Caenorhabditis elegans: one gene and its partners. The protein of the gene in region 4 interacts with the protein of the main gene of each other region in a pairwise test. Each region holds a gene or a part of one and is shown on either strand. Other genes may lie near its edges.

Region 1 (4,701 bases), on a different chromosome or scaffold from region 4:
TCCTCTTTTGCCTCCTATTCTTCTTCTTTCTTTCTGCTAACAAACACTAGAGATAAACGAAGAAGTGAACGCACACACACATACATGCAAGTTGCACAAATTATTTGTGCTCACGGAGCAACAATTTCAACGACTCGTGCCACACTTCAACGTGCTCCACAATCGTTGCTCGCCACTTCGCCCGACGCAACGTCTGATTCAGATGACAAGATTGTGCGGATCCTCGTCGAGGCGCTTCGTCGCAGTGACATGAGCATTATCGTCTCCGAATCTTTCGATCAGTGGGCCCGATTGGCCGTTGAGGTGAGTCTATGGGCTCCGCGAGCAGTTAATGGAAGCTTTTTGTAAGAGCTCGGCTGCTTTGGATTTATGGATTCCGAAATGAGAAAGAGCTATACGAGATTTAAAAAAATCCCATAATTCTGTCATTTCTAGATGGAGCTCAATTAGGATAATGAGCATTTCACCGTGGAAATGCATAATTTAGCTTTTCGTTCCCCAGCATAAAAATTCCCCCTAAGCTCAATTACCAGATTGATTGGCGAAAATGGGAGCTAGAATGCTCAAAAATGCTCAAAATTGTCTCAAAACTCCTATTTTGGATATTTTAGGACAAAATTTCAAAAAAAAATTATCGTTTACTTGGGGAACACACTATTAAGCTTTCTGGTAGTGAATTCGATCATCCTTGAACGCAGAATAAGATCTTGGCATAATCTTGCCGTGGGAAAATTGAACGTTCACGCGTGGTGTCAGAGTGTCTCATATGGGATTGATCTACATAGATCTACAAAAAATGCGGGAGAAGAGACACAGAATTCTCAACTGATTTCGTATGGTTAAGAACGTGCTGATGCCACATATTTTTGGACAACAAATTCCCGCATTTTTTGTAGATCAAACCGTGATGGGACAGCCTGGCATCACGTGTGTTCACGATAAAGCAGGAAATGCACCGAAACCAAGAATCGCTGCTCTTTATTCCAGGCCAAACGTCTTGGGCTCATTTCATTTGTGGAGGCCGCCTGCCCGTCAACCATTAGCATCTCTTGTCATGCGGCTCTCTCAACCGGACGTATCAATCCAGAAGTCACGTTTCGAAAGGTACACAATATCCATTTTATGGCTCAAAAAACAACAGGAAAAGCTTTCGCGTCATCAAATCCCGAACCAGTAAAGGGAACAACAACAAGCCCATTTTTCCTGCTCTCGTTTTTTTTTCCTTTTTTCTGTTCATTTCTCTTGCGGTTTTCTCCCATCAATTTTCCCCTATTATTGCTTATGAATACAGCAATAGGGGAATATGTATGTTAAGAGAAGAGAGACACACACAGACAAATGCTCATCATTTTTGACGTCGAGAAAAAGGATATTTTCAGGTTCTACGAATCGTCGTATCCGGAAAAGTAATCATGTGCCGAGCAGTGTTCGGCGATTCGTTGAACGAGTGTAGAGACGGAGGAGGCACGGATTTCGAGATGGATCGCTACACTTCTAGGTAGAGACAGGCTTTTTCGCGGCCAGAAATACTGAAAACCCGTCATGTAGATTTACGCGAAATTTACAGTTTCTAGCTATAATAGCTGATTTCTGAACCATTAAAAAATGTTCCGTCTCCGTTTGATCTACAAAAAATGCGTGCTGACGTGAAATTTTTTTGGGGAAAAATATCCGCATTTTTTGTAGATCACACCACACGGGGGAGTACACTAGCGGAAATCGACAGTTTCACAAGAAGAGCTCATAAGCTCTTTTTGAAACATAATATTTGAGCAGAACGATTGGTATTTCAGCACTACCAAATGACAAGTTAACCAGATTTCAAAGCTTCAACCCAATCCTCTCTTTCCAGATTCTTCCTAAAACACAGCAACTTAGAGAAAGCGTTCGACCAACTCGCGTCTTCCGGCTACCGACTTATTCATTCCAACACATTTGCGCCGTCCGAGATGCCAAAACATGCGGCGAAAGATGACTCGCAATTTATTCATCATTCTCAATTTGTTTTCCATCGACAGCCAAAGGTAGGAAATTGACGATGAAAAAAGTTAGAGCTGAGAATATCGAATTTTGAATTGAAATTGGTCTAATTTGATGTTAGGAAATCATTTTTTTTGTGAAAAAAAAAACACTAAACGTCGGAAAATTTCCCTGCTAACATCAAATTAGTTGATTTTTCCTTCAAAATTCGTCATTTTCATTGCATTAGCTTGTAGAAACCCCCACAATTCGTCCAGTAACGCCACTTTTCCCGGAAGTTGGTGAGGTGAACAAAAGGGAACTTTGTCTCTATCCGCTTAAAAGCTTTTTCCTTCTTCTTCTTCTTCCAATTTTCCCTTCAAATCAAATCACGGGCGGCTTCATCTTCTTTTCCCCCCGCTTTTACGTGCTCTTCCACCGGAACGTGTGTGCTCACAAGGGGAGCTCGAAAATGTCTGAGCCGTTGGAAATGGATTTTCGCCGGAAAAAAAGCAGCCAATTCTTCTTCAAGTTCCGTTCATCTCATTAGCCAGCGCCCTTTTTCTATGCATTTTGAGACGCTAATTTGATCACACAAGTGGTGAATAGAATGCACAATTTATGGGGGGAGGGGAGCCCTTTTTCTTTTTTCCGGGAAAGTTGGGCCGGAAATTCGAGAAGTATCGCTTTCAATTGGTGGGAAACCGAATTTATATATCGATTTTTTTGCAGCTTTGCCCTCCATCGGACACTGGTAGCAACTAGCAACGTGGACTTTTATTGCATTTTTCAAATAAATTGTTTTTTTTTGTAATTTTTCAATTTTGACAGGAGATTCGACGATAAATAAATACATCACACATTTTTACCTTATTCAAACGAACAGTGAGCACAACCTTGACTCCTTGAGTACTCAAACCACGCTTCTCGAGCTCTGTCTGCAAAAAGTGCATTTTATAGGGAATTTCCAGTGGAAAAAATGATTCACTTACCTTCAATTCACTAACACGCAAGTCATTGATCAATTTTCCGCTTTCCAACGGCATATTTTGCTCTGAAAATCGAAAATTTTCGGTGGAAAAAAATCGATAAAACACCAACTCGGCGACAACATGATTTTCGACGAAAATAACGGGCTTTTTTTTAGGCGGTTCAAACGATTGCCACGTAAGCAAATTCTTAATTTGGCGTGAAAAATTTAAAAAAAAAGAGAAAAATTGGATAATTTTACGCAGAAAAGATGAGAAATGAGAAAAAAAGAAATGCGCAGCGTTCGCGCAAGCTCACGAGAAACGCGCCAGCAACCACTGGTTGGCGCGTTTCGTGAAAAGCGAGGGAGATTCAAATTAGAATATTTTTGCAGGCCAAAAACGCAATTTTTCAAACGAATAATAAGAGAAAACCCATTTATTATAAACGAATTATGTAAAATTCAAGAAATTTATCGAATAAATTGAGGAAAAACTGCTAAAACTGCTGGAATTCCATGTCAAATTTCATAATTTAAATGTAAGCTCTCATTCCAAGCTGATCAGGTTCCTCCAGGAACTCGCAAATCGAGTCGACAAAGAATTTCGGGTCATCAGCATGAATCCAGTGGTTCGACCAGGCAGTTTCGGCGAATTGCACCTGTGAATTTGAATTTTTGAGCTTATTTTTCAAAATTTATCGATTTTTAGCCTATTGCTTGTCTTCACACCCTTCTAGATTATTTTCCCGCCATTTTTAAAGATCAAACTAGTCGAAAACCTTATATTTCCTTACCATTGGGAACATTTTCTCTACTCGATTCTTATGAGCCGCCGGAAGGAATCCCGAGCCAGGAGCCCGCTGGAACAGAGTCGGACCATCGAAAACTCCGAACCGAATGTCGTGGCTGAGCAGATAAATGTATGTCTCATCGATAACATTCAGATTGCATATCCAATGAGCTTTTCCGTTCACATCTTCACCCAAATTTCCGCGCACAAATTGGTAGAGCAGCACCTTTGACACTTTTTCGCCGAGCTCCGCCATCACTTCGCTTCGCGATTTGTTCATATCAGTGGCGATCATTTGTTTGATACATTCGAGGTATTCTGGAATAATTGGGGAGTTGTATTTCGAATTGATTTCCGGCAAATCGGCAAACTGCCGGAGTGGAAATTTCCGGCAAATCGGCAAATTGCCGGATTTGAAAATGCTCGGCCTATCGGTAAATCGGCGAATTGCCTGATTTCAAAATTTCCGGCAAATCGACAATTGCCAAAATTGAATCTTTTTGGCAAATCGGCAAACTGCGTGAATTGAAAATTGCCGGAATTGAAAATTTCCGGCAAGTTGCCTGATTTCAAAATTTCCGGCAATTCGACAATTGCCAAAATTGAAACTTTTTGGCAAATCGGCAAACTGCCGAAATTGAAATTTCCGGAAAATCGGCAAATTGCCGGATTGGACAATTTCCGGCAAATGGACAAATCGGCAATTGCCAAAATTGAAACTTATCGGAAAATTGGAGAATTGCCGAAAATAGAATTTCCGACAAATCGGCAAACTGCCGGAGTTGAAATTTCCGGCAAATCGGCAAATTGCCGGATTTGAAAATGCTCGGCCTATCGGTAAATCGGCAAATTGCCTGATTTCAAAATTTCCGGCAAATCGGCAAATGCCAAAATTGAAACTTTTTGGCAAATCGGCAACTGCCAAAATTGAAACTTTTCGGCAAATCGGCAAATTGGCGGATATGAAAAGTTGCCGCCAATT
Region 2 (4,880 bases), on a different chromosome or scaffold from region 4:
TATATTTCAGCATGCGTCGACTACCATAGATCATGTGCCGGATGGGCTCGTGTCGGTGAATGTCAGAAAAATCCATGGATGGCTGAGAATTGTAGATCAAGCTGTAACAGTTGCTATACTCAATCAGAGCTTCGTAGAATGTGTGGAACTACAGCTGGATCAGTTGCTCCAGTTGCACAAGTTCGTCAGACTAATCCATCTCGTCAACCACCACGTGGAGGTTGGGGACGTGACGATTTCGGAGATAATGGAGGATGGGGTGGAAATGGAGGTGGTGGATGGGGAAACAATGATCCATGGGGAGGATCAAGATGGGGTGGTGGAAGAGGTGGATGGGGTGGAGGTGGATGGGGAGGCGGTGGATGGGGTAAACGATCCATTCGAGCAGCCAATGCATCAATTTCAATGCCATCTTTTGATCCGGACCTCTTGTAATTTTTGTTACCTTTTCTCAATTTATCCGATTATTTTCGTGTATAATAAATATTTGCCTCAAACTCAATAAAGAATTCATTTTTATCTTATCGAGAACTCGAGGAAGCAAAAGACTATACAGAAACGGGTGGCGAATCGAGAAAAATAAGTTAGAAGTGATCACAATATCAATGGAACTAGTTACAGATTCAAGGAGGAAAAGGTGATATTCACAACAAATCAAAAAGTTAATATTGTTGAGGCTGTGAAGACGGAGCAGGCCATTGTTGTTGCTGTTGTTGAGGTTGGGGAACAGAATTCGGTGGGCATGCGTACTGTGGTTGTGCTCCAGGAGCCGGATAGTGTTGTGGAGGATATTGTTGTGGCTGCTGTTGTTGGACAGGACCGGTAGGTGGGTAATATGCTCGGTTTGGCTGAAAAATACGATTTTTTGAATTGATAGGCATTACCGTGAAGCTTAGAATGAAAAATTTCAGTTTTCTAAATATTTTTTTCTGAATAAAAACTGACTGGTTGCTGATAGTTGTACTGTTGCATTGGTTGTTGGTACATTCCTTGACTTTGATGCTGAAATCCTCCCTTCTGAATCGCATCATCATAAAGTGCGAGCACATCACGAATAGCCACATCGATTTGTGCTAGAGAGTTGCTCTGTCGATCAATACTAGCCAAATGTGCATCAATGAGATTTCCTTGAGCATACGAGGCGGCTTCTAGTTGGGCCAAATCCTCTGGATCCTGTCGTTCACCGGTAGGATCACATTCATGGAGTACTTGAAGACAACGAACAAGGATTGCTTCATTAATTGAGGCTACAACTTCTGGGGCTTTCTGTGATGAATCCGTCTCTTTTGATTTTAGATCATCGAGTTGATTAGTAACGAAGCTGGATGGGAAAAGTCCCTGTTGGGTACCAATACGACCAGTCCACCAGTGGGGATTGCTGCAAAAAATTGTTTTTTTTTTGATAATTGATAGAAGCAGTCAGTAACGAAAAGGTTCGGTATGATTAATTTTAAATTACAAAAAAAAAAACTGAAGAACTTCCTGATTTGATTTTTAAGCGATTGCTTTCAATTTAAACTAGAACACATTTTTGTTGCTTACCTTTCATCAGTAATTGTAATAATATCTCCAGCAACAAAAGATAATTCATTGCTTTCAGCAGCCTCAAAATCGTATAACGCTCGAACATTCTTTTCCGGAATATTCGAATTAGTCTGAACTGCTGGACTACTTGCTTTTGCTGATGGATACATTGTGGATGTTGATTTTTTTGCTTTTTCCTGTTTCTCTGCATCCGCCAATGAAGCAGCAATGGCTTTTGCGATTGCTTCTTCTTCCTGAGCAGATCCAACCTATAATAATTATTAATTTTTGATATTTATTGCCGCGAACTTCCACAACTCACATAATTCGGATCATTTGCAAACTTTGCATCAATCGCTTTCGTTTTACTTTTTGGATCATCCACAACAAATGAGTAGCCATCAGCAACAAGATTTTTGTGAAGAGTGACGATAAGTGACAGTGATTGTTCAGTTTTGCATTCTGTATCCACCCATTTTTGAACAGTTAATCGCATTTTTTCAGCAACTTGGCGTTGACTCTATAATAATTGTAAATTTTTGTATTTTTTTTTGTAAACGCGGTGAAATGTATCGTATTTTCGTATTATACTTATTTTTCTAACTCTATTTCTCTTTTTTATCTCTTTTCTGCGTATACTATATCTATTAAAGAAATACAAAACTTCATGAAAGAAATTTTGATATTTTGTTTAACAATTTCAGATTTAAACAAAAACTCACCGATGTACAAAGAGCTTTGAGTTCATTGATAAATTGTGCAGACGATACTTCCTTTCTGAATCTTTCTTCACAGTTTGCCCAACACGAATCAAGTACAGAAATCGCTAGAAGGACAACATGAGGATCACGATTGTTGAGACGTTTACGAAGTGATTTGATTCCTGTTTTCGATCCCTCGAAGTCGTTATTAATCTGAAAATTTTAAACTAAAACATTAAGTTTAGTCCAAAATCAATGATTTTCGGTGAAAATCAGCTAGCAAATTTAAGGAGGAAATTTTAATTTTAAAATATGATTTTTTATCAAACGACAAAGAATTCTATCTATAAATCAGTGAAAAGGTTTATACATTTTTTAAAACAAATTGAACGAACCATATCACAAAATGCGAGAATTCCCTCCCAATTCTCAACAGTGATAGTTGGAGCAGTGATTTTTCCGAGCAAATCCTCATAAGCAGACATTGGAAATGACTTTTGTTTCTGAAAATATAAAAAAGGAATATTACGAAAGAAAATTGAATCAATAACGGGTTTGCTTGTTGAATGTGTTAGTCGGGTGAACTGAAAGAGAGAGTGTAGGGGGATGAAGAGACATTAGACGGGTTAAGACACTGACGCATATGCTTTGTGTGTTCGTTCGTGCACACTTTTTTCTATGTTTTTGTTTTGTTTTCTTCCTTTCCGAAAACTTAATCATTTTTTACTGAATGAAAAAAAATCTATTTGAATGAACAATTACTCTTAACACTATTTTTAATTAAAGTAGAGATAGGAAAACGAACAAACCTTCATTGTTACAGCAGACTTTCAGCACGTGATCAGGTTCAATTGAATGAGTCTCACTGAAACTGAATATTTATTTCGAAATAATTTTCAAAAGCGTGATATTTAAAATATTGAGGGCAAAGACGATCGATATTCAATTTAGTTTGAGCAATTTGTTTATTTTTTCGAAAAAATGAATACTTTTGCCTTTCGCAATCGCAGATTTTCGAGAACTTGCGTCTCACGCGTGTACCAATCACATTCATGCGTTTAATTGAAAAAAAAAACATTTTAAAACTGCAATGCACATTTTTATAGAAAAATTAAATAACTTTCGAGAAAAATTAAATTCCAAAGAGAAGAAAGATTGTGGAATAATTCAAAAAAAATGATCTGAACAACTGTAGAATTCGTGGCAGACCCTCATGCTACAAATCGCGCGCTCCTTTAATCTTTCAAATTTTTTTCTCTGTTTAAACATGTTTTTTTTTAATTTTCAGTGTCCATGCTTTTTCTAAACTTTTAAAACTAAATGTTACTCAATAATTAGTTCAAAATTATTAAAAGTAGATTACTGGGACGTTTTTAATGTTTTTTCCTAAAAAATAATACTTTAGAACCTGAAAACGCTTCGTAACAAAATGTTCAATTTTTCGTTTTCAAAAAAATTTGTTCAGACTTCTATTTATTCCATTCATATTTCTTACTTCTCATCGTAATAGAATTTTTAAAAATTGTTGAAAAAAAATCCAAATCCAAATTGTTTATAAGCACAATTGTTTGCACTTTCATTGTTGATTCCACCTGCTTTTCGTTCTTTTCTCTCTCTCTCACCACTCTTCCACTCTGTGTTCATATAAATTTTCATTTCCGTTCGATTCTCTTCACCTAATTCGTCAAAAAGGGGCCCAACAACAGCCACAAGCGGTAGCTGCTGCCGATAGCGAGCCATAAAAATACATCGAAAACGACACGAAACATTATCGATTTAGTTATTTTTTCTATCTAGAGCCAATTCATATTTTTCTATCTAGAGCCAATTCACACGAATTTTTGCATGTGCTTATCAGTTTTTCGACGAAATTTTGTAAACTTGGCGAGTTGATATAGATTAATCAGTGTAATTTGTCCTGTGTACACTGTCTAGAGTTTCCATGTTTGATTTTTTTCAAATTTCAAGTTTGTGGTTTGCAAATAGCTTTGAAATTTTACTGAATGTTCTAGTTTTTTACTAACTCATTTGAATTTTGTAATTCAATGAAATTATATAAGTATTATTCTGGATCGGTTATCAATTTAATCGAAAAAGACGAAAAGTCAATCGACTTGATCATGCAATCCGCGCAAAACTGGTCTATGGCATGCGTAATACAACACATAATGTTCATCACCAACCCCGTGCCTCCCAAAATACACATTGGTACTCATTTTACTCACAAAAACTTTCATAACTTCTTTCTTTAAAGTTATATTTTATTCTTAGTCTTCTATATCGAAATTTTTTTTTGAAATTCGGTTTTAAACCTTAATGGTTTTAATTATTAATTAAAGTTAAAAGTGGACTACGACTAATGGGGAAATTATTAAAAACTATTCATATGCTGTTGAAATTACCGAATCTCGTTATAAAGATTTTCAAAAAATTTTGGAATTTTTTATTTCGAGTCAAATTTGAAAAATCTAAATCACTGTCGCATGTTTGAATCTCCACAATGTTGGAATATAAGTATTTTAAACATAATTAAGTCAAAAAATCGAAGAAAAATTCCATAATTTCCAAATTTTTTGACAATTTTATTATGACATTTAGTCATTTGGTCACAGCATAGGAATTATTTTACACATTCCCCACTGGCAGTAGCCAACC
Region 3 (6,142 bases), on a different chromosome or scaffold from region 4:
CCTGGTCCTCTAGCTGTATTGTCTGAAAAAGAGCAAGAAGAGCTCGCTCGCATGTTAATGGAGATTCAGCCACCTTTCCAAGTGAGTTTTATTTAATCAAAAATGATTTTTCAATTCGTTTATTTTAGAATGCTGATTGGTTGAATTATGACCCATATGGAATGTCAAATGTCTTCCAACCTTCTTATACCGACTTTGAAAATAGCATCACAGTCGGATCAGCAGGAGCACCAGGACCACCAAAAGAAAAAGGATCCGATAAAATTTTGAAGCATTCTCGTCCGAGCCGACCAAAACGGCAAGCACAAAAGGAACGAGTTCAACAAAGACGATCAGGAAATATTCAAAAGCCAGTTGTTCCACAAGGACCATCATTCACAGACGATGATTTCCCACCACTTGGATGATTGCGAAACCCATTTCAGTTATTTTCTACGTTCTCATTATTGTATGTTATTTATCTAGAAAATGCCTATTCAGGTGAAGTGTTAAACTAATATTTTTTAACGTGCCTAATGATAAACACGTGTTCTTCCAATTAATAATCATCTCATTTTTTTATTTGCGAACTAATCATAAATGTTTCACATTAAATAGCCGTATTACGAAAAACGTTCATTGAAACAATTAAAACACAAAAAAGGGGGAATTATAATTACGAAATATTATTGTACCGAGTTGGAGCTAGACGGTTGATGTGCAGTCGGAATCTTCTTGAGATGGTAACGTCGGAAGAAACTTCCAATGACATGATAAACGATGCAACACGTTCTTCCTACAGTAACCGAAGCACAGAAATTGCTCTTTGGCTCCGAATGACGAGCACAATGGAAATCGGTGCCAGTTTCCCATGGAGAAACACTCTGAATAAATAAAGTAAAAAAAAACAATGGAAGTTCATTAAATCCTTACGTCTTCTGCATCAACTTTTTGTCCGAGCAGACTGAACCAACGCATGGTTTCTACGTCAATTTTCTCATTCATAATGTCAGAAATAGCTTCCACGAATGCTTCAACAATCACAAAACAGTTGGGAGTGACTGGAAAACCTGAAAATGGTACATATTTTTACATGTCAAGTGCAATAAAGTATATTACCGTATTTCTTCTATTAATATGGCTGCAATACTATTTTTCGATGGTCTTCCCGCTTGCAATACTAATAGGGAGTGCAAGACTATTAGGGAGTGCAATACTAATTTTCAGAACATTTTCTGACTTTGAGCTTACTAGTTTTTTCCTGAAAAAGCTCGAATCATATTTAAAAATTCAGAAAATTTGATTTTCATATAAGTTCAAAAACTTCAATCTCGTAGAAATGATGTGAAAACTGTTGCAAAATAGGCAAAAAATGTTGTTGAAATCCTGAAATTAGCGAGACGGGTTTGCAATACAAAAAAGTTAACGCAAGACTATTAGAGAGTGCAAGAATAATAGGGAGTGCAATACTAATTTTCGGAAGGTCTCCGAGGGGCAATACTAATAGGGAGTGCAAGTCTAATAGGGAGGCCATGTTAATAGAAGATATACGGTATTTACCATCATAATGAAATCCAACATTATTTGCCAAATGCTTCATGCTGTCCACCATCAAATCAAGTTCAGATTGAAGAACAAGAATGAATCGACGATCATTTTTATCACACAACATTCCTGGATCCTTGAAGTTGTTCTTGATGTTCAAATCAATTTTTGTCTTTTCATTGCACGCATCACTGTACAAACCAACTTTGACACCCTGGTGGCATGCGATACTTGGCTCCACACGTCCCAGAATTTCTTCCACCAACTGAAATTTTATTTGTTTTGAACGTGTGTTAAAATAAAATTATACTAAATTGAGGAACAACAAGCGCAAAAACTACCGTACTCGTTAAAGAGGCGCGCACTAAGATGAAGTAATTCCCGGTCATCGCGAGACCCAAATCAAAACTTTTTCGTATTTTACGAGACAATAATTGCAAGCCGAAAATGTTTTCAAAAACTATACCCTTTTCTTGGTGATCGTAGCAAAATTGTTCTGAAGTGGAATACGATGAGTCTCCAATGCATGTCTAGAAGCGCGTCTTCTATGTGATTCACTTTCAGGCATCCATGGTCCAACAATTGCATGAAACTTTTCAACAATTCCAGAGAATAATGAAAACTCGTTCATCGCCATTTCAGCCAACATGCATTCTCCATCAATATTTCCATATGTTTGTACAGAAGCTAACAAGAATCTCAAATCACGAATTCCATCAATATTACCATCGATTGCATTGAGAACTCGTTCCTTAACAAATGCCACGTCACGACGATATTTGCGAAGTAGATCAGCGTCTTCATAGTTACCAGCAGAACTTTGTTGAACAATTTGATTGAGCATAACTCCATTTCCATGAAGAATCTCCTCCTCAATATCCGGATCTTCATAAAATTGATCCTCAACTGGTCGTCTCAACATACGCTTTTTAGCCTTTATTTTAGCCCATCTTTCTTTTCTGAAAAATGACAAAAATCACAATTTCGAATCAAAAACACTTTTTTTTTAATAACAAAACTTCATTAAAATGGCAAAACATGGCCATAAAAACAATTAAAAAGTTTAATTCGAGTTGAAGAGTCGACCTACTTCATGTTCAAGTCCGTTCTCTTGAAGAAAGGATTGGTTTGGCCACTGGCGGCAAGAAATCCATCGAGCTCCTCAACATGTCCATGAGATGGAATATTCATTGAAGTGCTTTGAGATGGTCTGGAGAATGACGAGAAATGTCCAGTTGAAGTAGATCTTTGGCTGTATGGGTAGTGGGAGCTAGCAGCAGAGAATGATCTACCCTTGTACCAACTTGGAAGCATTCCTGAGCTGGCACTCTCCCGAGGAATTACACGATTTGTGAATCCGTTTGGCTTTGAGTTGAAGGGGGAGAAGCCATCCGAAAGATCAGAACGATCCATGAAGCGACTAGATGATTGGGAATCTCTTGGTAATGAATCATAATCGTAGTTGAAACGTTTACGATTAGCGAATGGATTCACCTGAAAATAAATATAATTTAAAATAGTTCACAAACTTTTATGAAACAGTTAATTTACGATGTGCCCATCTGGAACTTTGCAGACGCAATGAAGGAAAAATGCGCACACCGCGACTCTCAATCGGTCACAATTTGTTCAATGTGCTCATAGAAGCATTATGCACACATCGTAAATTATAGTGATCACAGTAAACTTACGTTCTTGCTCGGATCTAGTCTACTGAATCCTCCGAATCCCCCAGGATTGCTGAATCCTCCAACATTGAATGGACTGGTCTTTCCATCAAACTTGGCATACGGCGACGGGGAAACACTCATGCTCTCAATCGATGGTTGCTTTCGAACACAAGCAGCAAACGACATTGGCTCCTGCGGTTGGTGTTGTTGATGATGAGCTGGAATTGCAGCAATGTTCATCGATTCGGTGACGGCACGAATGTTGGCAAGGTGCGTCAGTTGAGCTTTATACGGGACACGTTGCAACGGTGGCGGAGTCACATATGGCTCGGGATCCTCGATTGGAGTAGTTGGAGTCGTGAGCAATGGAGGCTCGGATGGAGGAGAGGACTCTGTAAACGAGAAGTACAGTTAAAACAAGCTGTCAGCATATAGTTTTCTCCAAAATAAGAACTTGAACTTGGAGATCAATTAATTATCTTTTTGGCGGATCAATAATAAATTTGTAATATTTCGCAGATTTTTTTCTCAAGCTTCTTACCTAGAGTTGGGTCCTCTGAGGCGGTGACAACCTCGACATGCTCAACAACGACTGGCTCTTCCGGCTCCACTGCTGGTTCAGCCTGAGCGATTTGTTCATCTTGAACCGTCAAACTGTCGGAAGCTGGCTCTTCTTGAACTACTGGCAGGGGCTCTGAGATGGGCTCTGGAGTGGACTCTGGGACGGGCTCGGGAACGGGCTCGGGAACGGGCTCGGGAACGGGCAAAGTGACGGCAACTTTAGGCACTTGGGGGGTCGAGTTTCTTGGCGGTTGCTTGTATGTCAGCTTCTTACGGTTTGATCTTTTCGGAACGGAAGGCTTGTCTGAAAATGATTGCATTTTAGAAACTGAAAGTAACCTCTAAAATCTTACTGGGTTCGGCAGCGAGTAGAATTTGTACAAGCTCCGGAATTGGTTCAGGGAGCGGTGGCGGGATCGGTTCCGATGGACGAGTTGGAGAAGATGGTTCGACGGAAGGTGGTGGGGTAGCAGTGAGGGCCACATTGAGAAGTTGACGGCGAGCATTTTTGTCTCTTGCAAATAGTTCGACTGTCAAATTTTGCATCTGTTTTCGAGCCGTCTGAAACATAGATTATGAGTAAACTGAATAGAATCTTCTGAAACTTACTTGATTGGGACGATTTTGTTTTCGCATGATTGTTTCGGATTTTTTGAAAACAGAAACAGTGAACAGAGAATATTGTTGTTATGATTTCAGACTGAAAGCTCCAAACTTCACAGCAACATTGTGATGACGTCATCTACCACGTCTCCGGGGTCAAGTTTATGGGATGCCACGGGCAAAATAAAAAGTTGAGTTCTTGAATTTTAAAATTTTAAAAGACCACGGAAAAAGTTATCAATTTCCGGTAAATTTATCACGTGAACATGTTTGAAAAGAATAGGAGTAGACATCGTATGCAGGTGCCTGACTAAACATGTATCCTTGGAACTTTCCTAGAAGCTGAAATCAAGCCAGAAACAAAAAATTCAATAACGTTTTCGTAACACTTCATTTCTTTAATAGAAAACAGAATAGTTCTAGTTCAATTTCATCTTCAAAAAAGTTCAAAATTTTTTTAACTTCAGAAAACATTTTTAATATTTTTATTTTGTAGCAAATGTTTAATAGTAGATTGGCGAATTCATTTACCTTAATTTGCTACCCGAGATATAAGCGTTGTTCTGAAAATTTCGCTTTTCATGTGCTAAAACGTTCAAAAAAATTTTTTATTTCAGAAAAGTTAGAATAGGTAGAATTGCACTCATCCCTCGTCTTTCATACATCATTAGATTTTGTGTACTGCGACTTACAAACGGTCGCTTTCATTTCAGTAAGTAAAACTTGAAAATACCAAAATGGAGAATGGCTAACCTAGACTTTACAAGTAGGCACGAGGTAGGCGTCTGTCGTTTCAAAGGCAGACAATTTTGCTTGCAAATGGTTGATTGTTGGCACTTCACTGTAGTCCATACCAAAATTCCCTAGAAGCAGCTCGACAAATCGCGACAACCTTTCTGCCAACTTCTGCAAAAATTTTGAAATTGGCATTTCTTAAGTTCTCTGATTTTTTGATTTTTTGATTACAAGTGATTATAACTTGCAAACTTGAATTTTTAGAAAGGTGAGTTATCTGCGTAAAAGTATCTGCTTAAAATAATTAATTAGTAAAAAGCAAGAAAATAATAAAAACAATTTTCCGAAGAAACTTTAATTTTCCCCATGAAAACTCTTAAAATGTTCCAAAGAACCCACTTTTGATCAAATTACATCCGGAAACACTTGAATTCCACAAACTGTTGAGTCTATCCCACCTGCTGTGCTCTCATTAATTCAATTGAGATCCTTTCAAATCTACATTTTGCAACATTTCCAACCCTCCACCTGCTTCAAATTCCAATCAAACCAATGTTTTTTCTTTGCCCTTCCAGTTTACTATAATCCCATCCCAATTCGAGATTCCCCTCTTTGGCCAGATATGAAATTCTTGTTGATATCAAAAGTGATATGAGATATCAGTTAGGTTATATATTACGAATCCATCAAAAGATATATGTATTGGATGCGAATCGGGACGCAAAATGAAATGAGAAGAGAACGACGAATGATTATTCATCACTCGGGAGAAAGTGAGACTATATGGACATTTTGTGACTCAATGCACTTACAATGTTGACAGTTTATATCGGGAAATCCCAATGGTTACTTTTGAAGAACAAATTAGCACATGGAATAGTTTTCATTCTACCTTCAGATCCATTCCAATTTATTCGAAACTACTCAGCGAAGATATGCGAAGTTGTAGGCTGCAATGCTCCAGCACCGAAAGTTCTGTTCAGAAAAATTCAGCCCATTTTTCTACTTTTTTAAGGTGTCTTCTGGAGACTTTAATTGTTTTAGGGTGT
Region 4 (4,432 bases):
AATCAAGCTATCCGATGTTACAAAAATCAAATTGCTTTCAAAGATCTAATGAACAGAAATGTAAACTTTGGCTTGTCAAAAGTCAAAAATTTAGGGCATGTTCATCATCTTCCAGCGCCTTCGGTCAACCTAACAACATTTATGATTGTCTAAAAAATCGATAGCATGGAAAAATGACACCCTCGAGGAACATAAATAAGATAATTGTATCATTAGACGCAGAATAATCTCAAAATGATCCAGACTTTACGAACAGAATAAGAAATCTGATATACCCATCGTCTCAACAATCTTCTATCCATTCCAAGCCATGACAAATTTGAAGCGGCAACAGTGAAAAGTGGCCCACCGCTGGCTAATACGTACGGTTTTATAGCGGGCAAACTGAAGGCCGTCTTAGGTCCATTACCGGCTGTTGGACCGTCATTTGTCCACAGGTTGAGAAAGACTTTCAACCTGTTCGGGCTCGTCCGCAGCTGTTATAATTGTGACATTTTTTATACATAAGTTTGTCTTTGGTTCTTGGAAGGACTTATTGGAAGATTTTATTTCAGAAACAAGAACAGTTGGAACAGTGTAAAGTTAATCAGAATAATCAAGAAAATTTGAAAACAAAGAGAAAGTCGGATAAATGGGAAATCATGATATATCGTAGAGCGAATAACAAGAAAATCGTTGATTTGTGAATAGTTAAAATTTTTTAAAATATTAGTCATTGTAAGAAGGTACATTTAATTTCAATGAAATCTCAATTTTCTGATTCGATGCTATTCCTCTGACGAGCTGTCACCATCTGGTAAATCATCAGAAGCGCTGCTTTCAGAACTTTCATCTGATGAGCCTTCTTCCTCTTGAACTTCTTTTAAAGCTTCTAATTCTTTGAACGCATTCTTCAAATTTCCTCGAGAATTTCTGAGACGTTTTCCAAAATTTCTGACAGTCTTCGCCAAATCCTCAGAAATTTCGTTTTTCGGAATGAAATTCTTTTTCAATTCCATCATCTGCTCGTATTGATGTTCAAGCTTTAATTCTAGAGCATCCTTATCTTCAAGAGCATTTTCGTATGACCAACCAAGATTAGCGATTCTGTAATAATTTTTATGTGTTTTTAAGATCAACAAAATATAAATGTTTCGTCAAAACTTACCTTTTTTTCTGATCGTTAATTTGTCTTTGGAACCACTGAATCTCTTGATCTTTCTTATCGTGCACTTCAAGACTTTCCAAAATCAAACGACACTCCTCTTTATGCAACTGCAGCATCTTACATTCTGGTTCAAGTTTTTGATCGTCTGAAAACTTTTGAAGAATTTCAATAAGTCCCTGCAATGTTGGAGTTGGTGAACGATTCTCTGTTTTGTTTCCAGCTGTGAGCTCTCCAATTTTCGCTGTTTGATTATCAAGATAGTTTTTCAATGTATCGTTTTTTCTGAGCAGTTTCTTGTTTTCTTGAGCAGCCCTGAGCAGTCTGGAAAAAGTAATTACGAAACATAAAATGTTTGTTCTTACACTGCCAAACAGATTACTATATCTCGATGGCAGTGCATGTTATGTTTTCGGTCGACTATACAGATAAACATAGTTACCTTGATTCATAGAGCTCTTGTGTCTTCTTTATATCCATTTTAAGAATTTCAATTTCCTTAGCTTTTTTCGAATTCATTTCAAAATTTCCAACAGCTGACTGTAGTCCTTCACAAGTTAACTGAATATTTTTCAGTTTCTGATCAATACTTAGTTCTTCTTTGAATTGTTTCAACTGTTCGGTGAGCTCATCCAATGTTAGAGGATTCACATTTTTTGAATTCTCGTGATTTTGAATACTTTTCAAGTTTTGAAGTTTTTTGAATTTTTCAATTTGAACTTCAAAATCATTTTGCAAGTCAGCATAGTTGTCTTGCAAATTGGAACATTCATTCTCGAGTGTATAGATTTTTACAGAAAGTGCCTGTCTCATATCATCATACTTAAGCTTCTGACGGCTGAGTGTTGAATCTAACTTCTGGATTCTGAAACAAGTTTAATCTTACAAAAATTACGAAAAAACAGTATACTTACGTTTCCAAATGTTCATCCTGTTTTTCATTGAACTTTTTTTCCAAATCCTTGTAGTTTTTATCTTTTAATTGAATACTTTCAAGCTGTTCTTTAATCATTTGCAAATGAGGAATGGAAAAATTAATAGTTTTACTTTGTTTCTCAACTTGGACATAGCTTATGGTATCATGAAGAATATCAATTATTCCTTGAACTGTAGGCTTAGACGCTGAAATTTAATATACATTCACGAGGAAAAGTATTCAGAGGACTGCGTGACTATCGATGTTTCAGATTTTCAGACGGGATACATAAAACGCAAGTAGAAAAACCCGCATGACGTCACACTTTTTCTTTCATTCTCCGTAATTTTCCAGGAACAAATTGCGAATGGAACCTATCATACACGCGTGCGCGAGGCGATGTGACAGCTTCGATTAATTATACAAAAAAAAACGTCAGAAATAATATCATTCCTGTTATGAAACACTGTGATTTCAAAAATGTTTACCTTCCAATTGTCTTGTTTGCGGTGCTTGACTTTCTCCTTTTGAAACACTTGGTTTGATTCCTGACATTACTCTCTGAAAATCCAAAATCCTTGCACTAAAACAGATTTAAAAAAAAGAAGTTAAATGAAACCGTATTCATATCTTATAATATCATAACTACAATCATTTCCATACAATTCGTGCATTATAAACAAGAAAACAAATGAAAACCCTTCAAAAAACTCGATTAGCTACCGATATCAAGGCACTTTGGATGTAAAAAATAATAAATTAATCAGTCATCTCTTGACGATGACGTATGGGCAAGTCATCTGGATGAAAACTATAAAACAGAACGCTCATGTATATTATCGACTCGAAAAGAAGGTTTCCAAAAATTATCGATTCAATTTAGGTTTAGCAGATCTACGAATATACATTAAAAAATACTTGAGGAAAAGTTACTTAATTAGGGATCCTACAGAACTGACAGACCTAGAATAAAAGTAAAAAAGATTAAAAACGAGAAGAGGGAGGGAGAAAACACCGAATGCAAATGAATGGTATGTTGGAGATTTGTAGTGTTGGAAGAAACAGTGAACCACACTCTCCACGGGCAACGTACAGGGGTCATCTCATCTATTTGTTACGACGTCGAAGAGGCTCGCCACTCTGTAAGTAATATTGATTACTTGGTTTTGTGTATCGCATCCGATATCGGCCGAATGTACAATGAGATTTTTTTTCGAAATACCACTATTTTAGATGTCGCCATAAAAAATGTTTGAAGGTAACATAGATAACATTTTCAGAAGAATTTAAGTTTGAAAACGTGATCAATTAGGTTTTGGGCATCTGGAAATCATATGAAAAGCTAAATTTATACCTGTCGTACGACGACATCAAACGCTGATCCAGTTGATTGTAGTGGTACTGCCACGGATTCTGGCACAAACGAAGACGCGGTTGAGATTCGTGACGACGTTGACATTCTGGATGATGGGCGGGATGAGAGAGCTGGTACATTCGATGACATTGGCACTCGTGGAGAAGTTCGACGAGCCGCCGCTGAGAAGGTTTTTAGTTTCAAGTGAAGTTCTTCAATTGTCTTGGTCTGCTCGGCAATTTGATGACGATACTCCGCGATAAGACCTTCACGATCAGAAATCGTCAGATTTTGAACTCGCATATCCTGTTGAGCATTTGCAAGTTGTTGTCTGAAATAATATTAATATAAATCTATATTTAATTTTCTGATTGTGTGTTACTTTATTTTTTCGATTTTCACATGTCCGGAACATGCTATCAAATACTTTAGTTTAAAATAAAATTTCGTTCTATACACCAATTCATTTAAACGTTAAAAAGATTTAACTCACCTCAGCTTGACTAGCTCGACGTTTGATGTCTTCTGCTGTTGATCTTCTTCAGCAGGATTCTGAAGTTGTGCTTCCAGTTCTGCAATTTTTGCTGTCAGAACTTCGCATTTCTCACGATACTTGTCCATTTGAACGGCGAACTCGTCAGCGTGATCCAATAATCGAGCTTCCGAATCCTTAAGCAATCCATTCTGCTCCGAAACAATGCGAAGTTCTTCTTTTAACTGTTCCAACTCTTCCAGAGACTTCAGATCAGCCGATTCGGATGCCTCGATAAGCTGTTGCCGTAGATTAGAGACAAGATTTTGAAGTTTCACAATAGTATCATTCCTATTTGAAATCTCGATTTCCAATGCCTTCTTTACTTCTTCAATTTCATTTTCATTTTTGTTCCACGCATCATCATCATTCCATCCTGAAGCCGAATTTTCAGCCTCGACTAGCTTCTGTTTGGTATCTTCCAGTTCTGATTGAACGTCATACAACTTTGATTGGAGAGCAGAAATTGTTTCGGTTAACTGAAAA

The links.
Region 1: the proteins of T11B7.1 (region 4) and phm-2 interact in a two-hybrid assay, tested with the Caenorhabditis elegans proteins (one large-scale study listed by BioGRID).
Region 2: the proteins of T11B7.1 (region 4) and stam-1 interact in a two-hybrid assay, tested with the Caenorhabditis elegans proteins (one large-scale study listed by BioGRID).
Region 3: the proteins of T11B7.1 (region 4) and B0393.4 interact in a two-hybrid assay, tested with the Caenorhabditis elegans proteins (one large-scale study listed by BioGRID).

Annotation. Positions count from the first base shown.
Region 1 is NC_003279.8:11,515,870-11,520,570, reverse strand, and holds the start of phm-2 (Pharyngeal muscle protein 2), read right to left. Parts: upstream 3,014-4,701; 5' UTR 3,006-3,013; coding exon 2,952-3,005; intron 2,898-2,951; coding exon 2,829-2,897; intron 2,824-2,828; exon of another isoform or gene 2,725-2,823; coding exon of another isoform or gene 2,692-2,724; intron 2,025-2,691; coding exon of another isoform or gene 1,853-2,024; intron 1,499-1,852; coding exon of another isoform or gene 1,380-1,498; intron 1,105-1,379; coding exon of another isoform or gene 988-1,104; intron 598-987; exon of another isoform or gene 469-597; intron 304-468; coding exon of another isoform or gene 85-303; exon of another isoform or gene 1-84. Other genes in the region: F32B4.5 (KCTD8/12/16 H1 domain-containing protein), read left to right, coding at 85-303, 988-1,104, 1,380-1,498, 1,853-2,024, 2,692-2,724; abhd-11.1 (AB hydrolase-1 domain-containing protein), read right to left, coding at 3,463-3,588, 3,724-4,037.
Region 2 is NC_003279.8:5,901,600-5,906,479, forward strand, and holds stam-1 (Signal transducing adapter molecule 1), read right to left. Parts: upstream 3,097-4,880; 5' UTR 3,041-3,096; coding exon 3,035-3,040; intron 2,729-3,034; coding exon 2,621-2,728; intron 2,439-2,620; coding exon 2,247-2,438; intron 2,045-2,246; coding exon 1,847-2,044; intron 1,794-1,846; coding exon 1,543-1,793; intron 1,379-1,542; coding exon 946-1,378; coding exon of another isoform or gene 916-945; intron 849-915; coding exon 663-848; 3' UTR 506-662; downstream 1-505. Other genes in the region: tyr-4 (ShKT domain-containing protein), read left to right, coding at 11-435.
Region 3 is NC_003281.10:4,759,138-4,765,279, forward strand, and holds B0393.4 (Maelstrom domain-containing protein), read right to left. Parts: upstream 4,473-6,142; 5' UTR 4,392-4,472; coding exon 4,365-4,391; exon of another isoform or gene 4,317-4,364; coding exon 4,109-4,316; intron 4,060-4,108; coding exon 3,736-4,059; intron 3,587-3,735; coding exon 3,216-3,586; intron 3,019-3,215; coding exon 2,615-3,018; intron 2,484-2,614; coding exon 1,991-2,483; intron 1,790-1,990; coding exon 1,540-1,789; intron 1,050-1,539; coding exon 913-1,049; intron 864-912; coding exon 666-863; 3' UTR 543-665; downstream 1-542. Other genes in the region: fbxl-2 (F-box domain-containing protein), read left to right, coding at 1-81, 129-407.
Region 4 is NC_003282.8:8,838,908-8,843,339, reverse strand, and holds T11B7.1 (Centrosomal protein of 162 kDa), read right to left. Parts: upstream 2,624-4,432; 5' UTR 2,616-2,623; coding exon 2,549-2,615; intron 2,267-2,548; coding exon 2,059-2,266; intron 2,010-2,058; coding exon 1,587-2,009; intron 1,469-1,586; coding exon 1,148-1,468; intron 1,087-1,147; coding exon 768-1,086; 3' UTR 535-767; downstream 1-534. Other genes in the region: T28C6.11 (uncharacterized protein), read left to right, coding at 3,079-3,202, 3,457-3,677; T28C6.7 (Kinesin motor domain-containing protein), read right to left, coding at 3,168-3,200, 3,415-3,745, 3,908-4,425.